Linked DNA regions of Lytechinus pictus. The main gene of each other region encodes a partner of the protein of the gene in region 2 in a complex. Links are inferred from orthologs where the notes say so. Each region holds a gene or a part of one and is shown on either strand. Other genes may lie near its edges.

Region 1 (3,926 bases), on a different chromosome or scaffold from region 2:
ATGAATTACACTACAGCCCGGATCAAATTCAACGCCGGCCCCGCGGCGCTAATTAAGTTTCGAACCAACTTCGAGAGAACTTCCCACCAGTAATTGTTCGCAAATGTCATATGACATCGAGATCGAAGCCGAAAGGCCCGAAATATAACCGTTCCCGACATTCGGTAAAGTGGTGGGTATATATTATCTTAAAATGTGATTGAGAGACTTGCTATATGAAATATGTTATTGTTAACAATGACTTTCCGCTATTGCGGAAAACGGACGTAATTCACGGAATCAACCTTTTGAAACGGAAAATGGCTTTTCAAACGAAAAATCACGGAAAACATATTTTTTCTCTAAATGCACAGAATAGCAACAGAAATTACTCCCAAATTCTCAACGAAATACAAATATCAACTGGAAAAACACACGATCTAAAGCCTAAAAAGGAGTAAAGCCGAGGACGAGGTAATATTAATAAACAATGCGCCTATGACAGTACGAGTATGAGTATGAATAGATTATTTCTAGATAGATGGCGCTATATAAATGCCTATCAATCATTATTATTATCTTACTTCGCTACAACAATCATGACAATCCACACATCGTGACTGCACTCGAAATTAGTTTACACTCACGACAGCATAAAGCCAGTATTAAGGCAGAAACACGGCCATGTTGCTGCCCTCTGGCTCTGCCATGTCTGCGTTCGGACTTCGGTCTTATTATCATGATCGCGGTATTCCACAAATCCAAAATGGCAATTAGGCGAAAGTCGTTGACTGCTCAAAGTCAAACCTATGTCCAAAAATTCCCCAAATCAGCAATAAAATCTCAGTTAGGGTCTAATGATTTTTCTTAATAATAATAGTTTTTGTAGATCTACTCGAATCTCTTCAATTAAAATTGATTTTAAAGCAATGTTAGTACAGTGGCAGATACAAATTTTGACCTCGCGACTCATTACTAATTTAGTCATTGCCATTGGCAATTCCGTTTAACGGAATCGTCAATTTTCCATATACACAAAAACAGAATTTCCGTTTCGTCTAACCCAGGAAGCTCCCGCCCGCTGCACGGGCGGGAGCCTAGGAGCTTACCGTGTATTTGACCATAGTCACCGAACTAGGGTGATTTATGGTCTAAATATTTCTCCAAATGAATTGTGAAAACAGAAAGTATACCTACCACGATTATATGGATGAAGGTCTAACGAGTGGCAGTTTCCTGACATCTGGGCACAGACTGGAACCTCAAAAAAAACGAAAAGTTCTCTCCTCTACCCCAGTCTCGATCGGCCATTTTGTTACGATTTTTAACAAAAATGGCCGATCGAGACGGGGGTAGGAGAGAACTTTTCCGTTTTTTTTAGGTTCCAGTTTGTGCCCAGATGTCAGGAAACTGCCACTCGTACTTAGACCTTCATCCATATAATCGTGGTAATTCAATTGTATACTTTCTGTTTTCACAATTAATTTGGAGAAATATTTAGACCATAAATCACCCTAGTCCGGTGACTATGGTCAAATACACGGTAAGCTCCTCATGCTCCTAGCTCCTGCCCTGGCATGCCTGGGCTCCCTCCCTGGGTTACGTTTTGTCCTGCTGAAACAGAATTTGAAATGTTTAAGATTTTTCTAAACCGGAAGAGGCAATTTTTAGAAACAGGAAAATCATTGTCCCTATCTATTGGTGGGGAAATTCTCTCAAAGACAAAGTCAAAGTCGGCAGGTGCGAAACTGCATTAGCACCGGACCCGCCGAACGGCGATAGCTAGCGAACTCACCGCGAGGAGCCTCCGTGTTTGGGAGTGGGAAGCTCCCCGCTCGGGCCGGTCCGAGCAGAATGGAATTACCGTATCCGCAGGCCGGAGCAATGCTCAAATGTTTTATCTTTAATAAAAAATTTGGGAAGACTGTTAACAAAATGAATATTAATTATAAATGGGGATATTTATTTCGAACCATACTAACCTTGTGCACTTACGCCAATTTACTTTGAAAGGCAGAAATAGTGGGTTTTACGACACGACAGTATCACAAAGTCAACCTAAGCTAGCACCCACGTGTCTCGGTTCCAAACAATATGTTACTTCGTCCTCACAATGCAATGCGACCACTTCTTTCCAAAACATCGACCCACAGTAAGAACAAGTCTACCATTGACTCACATTCATAAAATATGATTAGAGAGAAAGGGAGAGAAAGGGGGGGGGGGGAGAGAAGTAGTCTTGAGGACGCAATGATGATGACTTTTAAAATCATGTCATAATGATGAAGAAGTATATATATGACAGGATTTTAAAAGTCATCATCATTGCGTCCTCAAGACTATAGGGAGAAGCACCTAAAAGAAAAATAATTAGACTTTATAGAGAAGAGATTATGAGATAAGATGAAAGAGAATACAGAAATAAGTAAGAGGGAAAAGAAGATGGTATGAGAGAAGGGTGAACAGAGGAATTTATATTAGACTCGGGTGGAAGACGGATCGAGAGGCACAGGCATAGTCTGTAGTAGACAACTAGTGAGAAGCGGACTGATTACTCATTTTTTTTGGCAAGAATCATACAGAAAAAATGAACTAAAATATAATTTTTTGAAGAAAAAAAATTGACAACCCCGATTAAACCTTTTGCACAATGTCAAAGAAAAAAAATTGGTTCATAAACAGTTCAACTACGGCCCGCGAAGCTTCTCAATCCGGCCCGCGAGACTCTGCTGGGTTTTTTTTAATCACTTTTAATTAAGTCACAATATGAAACATAGCTCAATATGATTACATTGTGTATAGTTGTAGACCTAACCGTAATAAAAGTAATGGCAGTCAAATTAATTTGACATTTAAACAAAGTTTAGTGGAGCAGCTGTCTGTTCGATCTACTTTCTAATTATTAGATGACTAGAGCGCTGTTCTCACCATGTTTGGATCTACATACAGGTGCGAAAGTGCATTTTCCACAATGAACATTTTAAAGAATTAATTCATACCGAAGTACCTTGACAGGGGCCGCGGAACGGTTTTGAAAGTGGGGGGGGGGGGGGGGCTGGCCATGCAAAAAATCACAATCATATGGTAATTTTTACGTTTTTGTACACATGGTTTTGGGTGAAGCCCCCCCCCCCCCCCCGCTTCCGCGGCCCCTGCTTGACCAGTGAACATTAATTTTGCACCAGTGCCTTCGTCTGGCAATTACACCTTTTGTGTCAAGGTTCAAGCAACTTGTTGCTGACAGACTGTCACTTTTCCCATATTGAAAGTGACTATAGGAGACTGACATCCTTGTGAAAGTCTACAACAGACATGCTCTATTATTCATTCTACTTTGACTACAAAAAATATTGATACTTCAATTAAGACATTATCTAACTCCCCAATACCAGGTATGTAAAGGTATACAATCTAGATTCCTTTTAACAAAGTACTACAATTTTGTTATCAATATTGACTCTCGCTGTATTTTGAAATCTTTTCTAATTTTGCCTGCGTTCCATATGAAACTGTTATAAATTTGTTGGATTAAATGCTCCCAAAATAAGACAACGGCCAGATTGCACAAGAGAGCATCTAGGACCCCGGCCGCAATAGGGTCTTTGCGCTTCGCGCACATTTTTTTCTAAGTATCCACTTCACCCTGGCCCTTTCAGGTATACTTGGAGTCTCATCTGGCCCTTCACAAAAAAAGTTTGAGAACCCCTGATATAGACAGTGTTAGAACAAGTGGATAGGTAAAATGTGTGAAGCTCAGTGGCGGATCCAGGGGGGGGGGGGTACATCAGGCCCATGCACTCCTTCGAGAGTCATATAGTCAATATTTTTAATGTAAATATGCCGTTCTCACACAAGTGTGCCCCCCCCCCTCCTTTATAAGTTAGCATGATGGGAATATGCCATTCGTACACTAGTGAGCTAGTCCCTAAATTTCTTTTCCTCTTTTT
Region 2 (3,926 bases):
TTTGCCATTCTGTTCACCAGTAAATTGAATCAAGGACAATTCAATAAAAAAAATACATACCCTTTCTCTCCCTTGCGTAGAAACTTCTGAACTTCTTTTACCCCACGTCTGACCATCTTGACTTTACTAGCTGGGAAGAAAAACCATAAATATATTAAAATGAAACCAAAGAAAAATCTGGGGCCGTATTCCGAAAATTGTTTAAGAGAAATATTCTTGTATCTCTGGAGTTACAGTATAATAAAATCCGTATTCTGAAAATTCTTGTATCTTTTCTTGTAACTTTCACTGAGCGCGTATGTCAGAGCTATAATGATGCGTAATGAGGCGCCTAAATATCTTTGTGCGCAAGATAACATTTTGAGATATACCGTATGTAAAAGGTATTCTGAAAATTCTCTTATCTTTGCGTTCTGATGACTTCCTTGCAAAAATACAAGAAAATTTACAAGAGGTACGGGGCTATTGTAACTTAATGTTGAATGCGATACTTCTCAGTCAACAATAATAATTTCTTGCTGCATCCCACAAGAACATCATGTTTTACAAAAGGAGACATTCCAAAGAAGTTATAACTACGGATTGTTAGACTCTTCAGCAATTGAAAATTGGCATTCGAGATGATGGTCCTTTTCAAAGAAAATATGACTCTGGGAAAAGCCACATGTATTTTAGCGCAGTAGTGTACAAGCATAAGCATCGGTGGCGCAAAGGAAATTACGCGGCGTGTCAACAATGCACTTAACAATTTTTTAAGAAGGACGCTTCTATTGGTTGACCGAAACAGATCTGTATAAACAGTATTAACTGGGAAAATCCCAATTTTCTGACCAGCGCCTCTACTGATAAAAAGTTTAATTATTGGTTGATAAAATATTTGGCGTGTCAGAGATAAAATAGGGGACGTCCTTACAGAGTCAGAGATAAGACAATTTTCAGAATACCGATTTAAGAGAATTTTAGCAAGCTGTTTTATCTTGCTGAATTACAAGAAAGGTTAAGACAATTTTCAGAATACCACCCCTGGTCTCTGCAATACTTTTGAATGTATTTGTTTCGATGTAAAAAGTATGGCGATTAAATTTTTAACTCAATGACAATGTGGTTTAGAGTGATAATTTTATTCTTCTCATTCCAAGTGGCATACCGCATTCATCTCATTCCAACTCTCATACCGCCATCTACAAACCCCAGGAGGGCCACTTCCATTGACGAGTGGATACCATGCGCGACCATGGGGTCTCGAAAAAGCACCCTAAACTAAGTAAACACGGATTTTCCATATTCTGAAAATGCACCCCTTAACAATAACAAGTAATTGCGTGTGATGAAACCCTACCCTTAACATTAAGTATTGGAAACAAAACGATACTCTTGGCAAGTATTCTCTGAATTGAACCTCTGAAGTACAGACCTTCTGTACCAAAGATAAGAAACTCAACGAGGGGCACATAAGCATATTGCTTTATGTCTCAACATCCAAGTAAATAAGTAACCCCTAAACAAGTACAGCAATATTTTATTTTTAATTATGTCATTGACGTCGGTTTTACCTTCTACAATCGTTGGGTTTATTAGTACAGCCTCACCTCCCACACCTCGCGCAAATCGTACTCTAAACACGTAAAGTGACGTAGTGTTGACTCTTTGGGCAAAAAGTACATCCTTTAATTTTATAAAACAATTTAGTCTTTATTTTTATACCATCGCAAATTTGACCCTAAATACGTAAAGTGAAGTCAGTAGAGGCGCACGGCCAATATGGGAGACTCTCTCCAATAGGGGAGACAATCTCCCACATTGGAGACTTGCTTTGCAAAAGGACAAAAGAAACAACACCAACAAAAGTATGATTTTTTCCACCCAAAATTTTGTCTCACTGAGGTCAGAAGCCCGTTTGTCTGTTTGTGTTGTGTGTGATTGACAACAAAATTCCTTATCAAAATAAAAGTAGACGGTGAATTTTTAAAGTAGACGGTGAAAAGGGGTAATTTTTCATGAGGAATCTGCTTATCACATTTTAATTTGCCGCCAAGGTAATCCTTTTGCAGCAAATGTAAACAAAGGAAATTGGACTCCAAAACTGGAGACTGTCTCTGAAATTGGATACCCAAATTCTTTACAAAAGTCTCTGATATTGGAGATAATCTCCCACATTGGAGACAGTCTCCAATATTGGCCGTGCGCCTCTACTGGAAGTAGTTAGTAGGTAGCAAAAATAGATAGGCCTACCCTTTTTCTGTTATTTTAGTGTTTTTGACACCCTTATATTACCATTTAGTTTACGTTACGTAACGTACCCTATCTTGAAAAAGACATCCTTTTCACGTGTTTTTTTGGTTGCACATGGTCATGGTATCCACTCGTCAATGTAAGTGGGCTACATTACAAACATAAAATAATTTTATAAATATGAACACAAACGTAAATTCGAATGAATGGGACTGTATTTCCAATTTCACCTTTTTTGATGACTTTGTACAATTTTTTCGTGAGTTTCCTTGAAGCCAAAGGATTTGCTATGGGTGAGACACGAGCAACAAGTTCATCATATGTGAGTTCTTGTGTTTCAGCTTCATCATCAGCGCGATCAATCCCATTCTTTACTGCTGCTGGTGACTTCATTTTTAGGCTTATGATGTTGATTGGTCCACGTGTTTTGTACCGCAACGTAACAGCAATACGATTCGTAAAAATACGTACAAGCTATGCCGCCGATGGAGGCGGCGTGGCGCTTTCAGAGATTCCGGTGACATTTACTGTGTTGTAAGGTCGCATATTAATTTGCAACGTCGTTCAAGAATTGCATTAACTATTCTTTTGCACCCCGAAGCTATTTTCTTTCTTTAAAATAATATATTTATAAGTAGAAAAATACTTATTTGTATAAAACCCTTAGATATAAAAGCGAAATTAATAATCAAATTGGCAACTCTTAATTACCAAGCATGGCGGATGAACAGAAAGAAACAGACGCGCCTGGGAGCGATGGTTTTTCAGCTCAGAATCAGCAAAATGACGACTCAAGCATGGGGAATGACGGAGGAGAAAATGCAGAAACATCTCCAGGATCATATAGATCGAGGTTCGTGTATGGTGTAACTTTAATAATGTTTTTTTTCCCTAAATAATTAGCGGTAAATAGACACCCCCCCGAAAAAAATGTGTGTGTGGCATGGCAAGTTCTGCCTTCAATTTCCGTGGCCTACACACGTCACACGCGATCGACGACGCAATTCGCGGGGCAACTCCAAGTTCCGCAAAGAAGTCGGATGTGTAAATCGCGTCACGACGCGACATAGCAATAGCATAGCCATAGCCATAGGGCGGCGTTAGGGCCTAACGTTAGGCCCTAGCCGCCTAGGTTAGGCCCTAGCCGCCTAGAATGACTATGGCTATGCAGCTAAGCCAATTTATGGAAAGCATTAATGCTGTATGCCTGCAGTGTAGTGTACTGTAGTGTAAGTCAGACTAGAGCTGTGAATTGTGATCAGAATGGATGATGATAGGCGATGCACGCCGCCAATAAACATGATATGATAAATAAAATTGATGTCGGCAAAAAATATCAGAATTTCAAGTTGTTGATTTAATGTCGATTATCTCAAAGTTTTGGGGATATTTTAAATTTTTTGTTGGGACATGTTTTAGTGTGTTTTGACGTGCTAGCGAATAGGGAAAGAACTCTGAGTCTTGTTTTCCGAAAAAGAAATGTATCTGCAGAAGACCGAAGAATCATTTTCCTAGAAAGTCGCAAAGGCAAAAAGTCCCAATGTCATTATGGTCACATATCAATAAACCAGCGCACGCACGACACTAGCACTGGTCCGACGGTGCCAGACCGGTAAAAATTGCTGTTGCTGGGGCCAGTAACTTTTCAGAAATGGCAAGATTTACTGGTCCGAAATGATCAGTAAAAATTATAC

What was found.
Region 1: H/ACA ribonucleoprotein complex subunit 2-like protein (region 2) and H/ACA ribonucleoprotein complex subunit 1-like share a complex: the UniProt entries of both Drosophila melanogaster proteins name them as parts of the box H/ACA small nucleolar ribonucleoprotein (H/ACA snoRNP) complex. The link is inferred for Lytechinus pictus from reciprocal best matches to the Drosophila melanogaster genes NHP2 and Gar1.

Annotation. Positions count from the first base shown.
Region 1 is NC_087262.1:10,790,149-10,794,074, reverse strand, and holds the start of H/ACA ribonucleoprotein complex subunit 1-like, read right to left. Parts: upstream 2,298-3,926; 5' UTR 1,962-2,297; intron 1-1,961. UniProt on the Drosophila melanogaster protein: Component of the box H/ACA small nucleolar ribonucleoprotein (H/ACA snoRNP) complex, which catalyzes pseudouridylation of rRNA. This involves the isomerization of uridine such that the ribose is subsequently attached to C5, instead of the normal N1.
Region 2 is NC_087256.1:25,669,996-25,673,921, forward strand, and holds the start of H/ACA ribonucleoprotein complex subunit 2-like protein, read right to left. Parts: upstream 2,760-3,926; 5' UTR 2,626-2,759; coding exon 2,463-2,625; intron 131-2,462; coding exon 61-130; intron 1-60. Other genes in the region: uncharacterized protein LOC129272326, read left to right, coding at 2,949-3,085. UniProt on the Drosophila melanogaster protein: Component of the box H/ACA small nucleolar ribonucleoprotein (H/ACA snoRNP) complex, which catalyzes pseudouridylation of rRNA. This involves the isomerization of uridine such that the ribose is subsequently attached to C5, instead of the normal N1.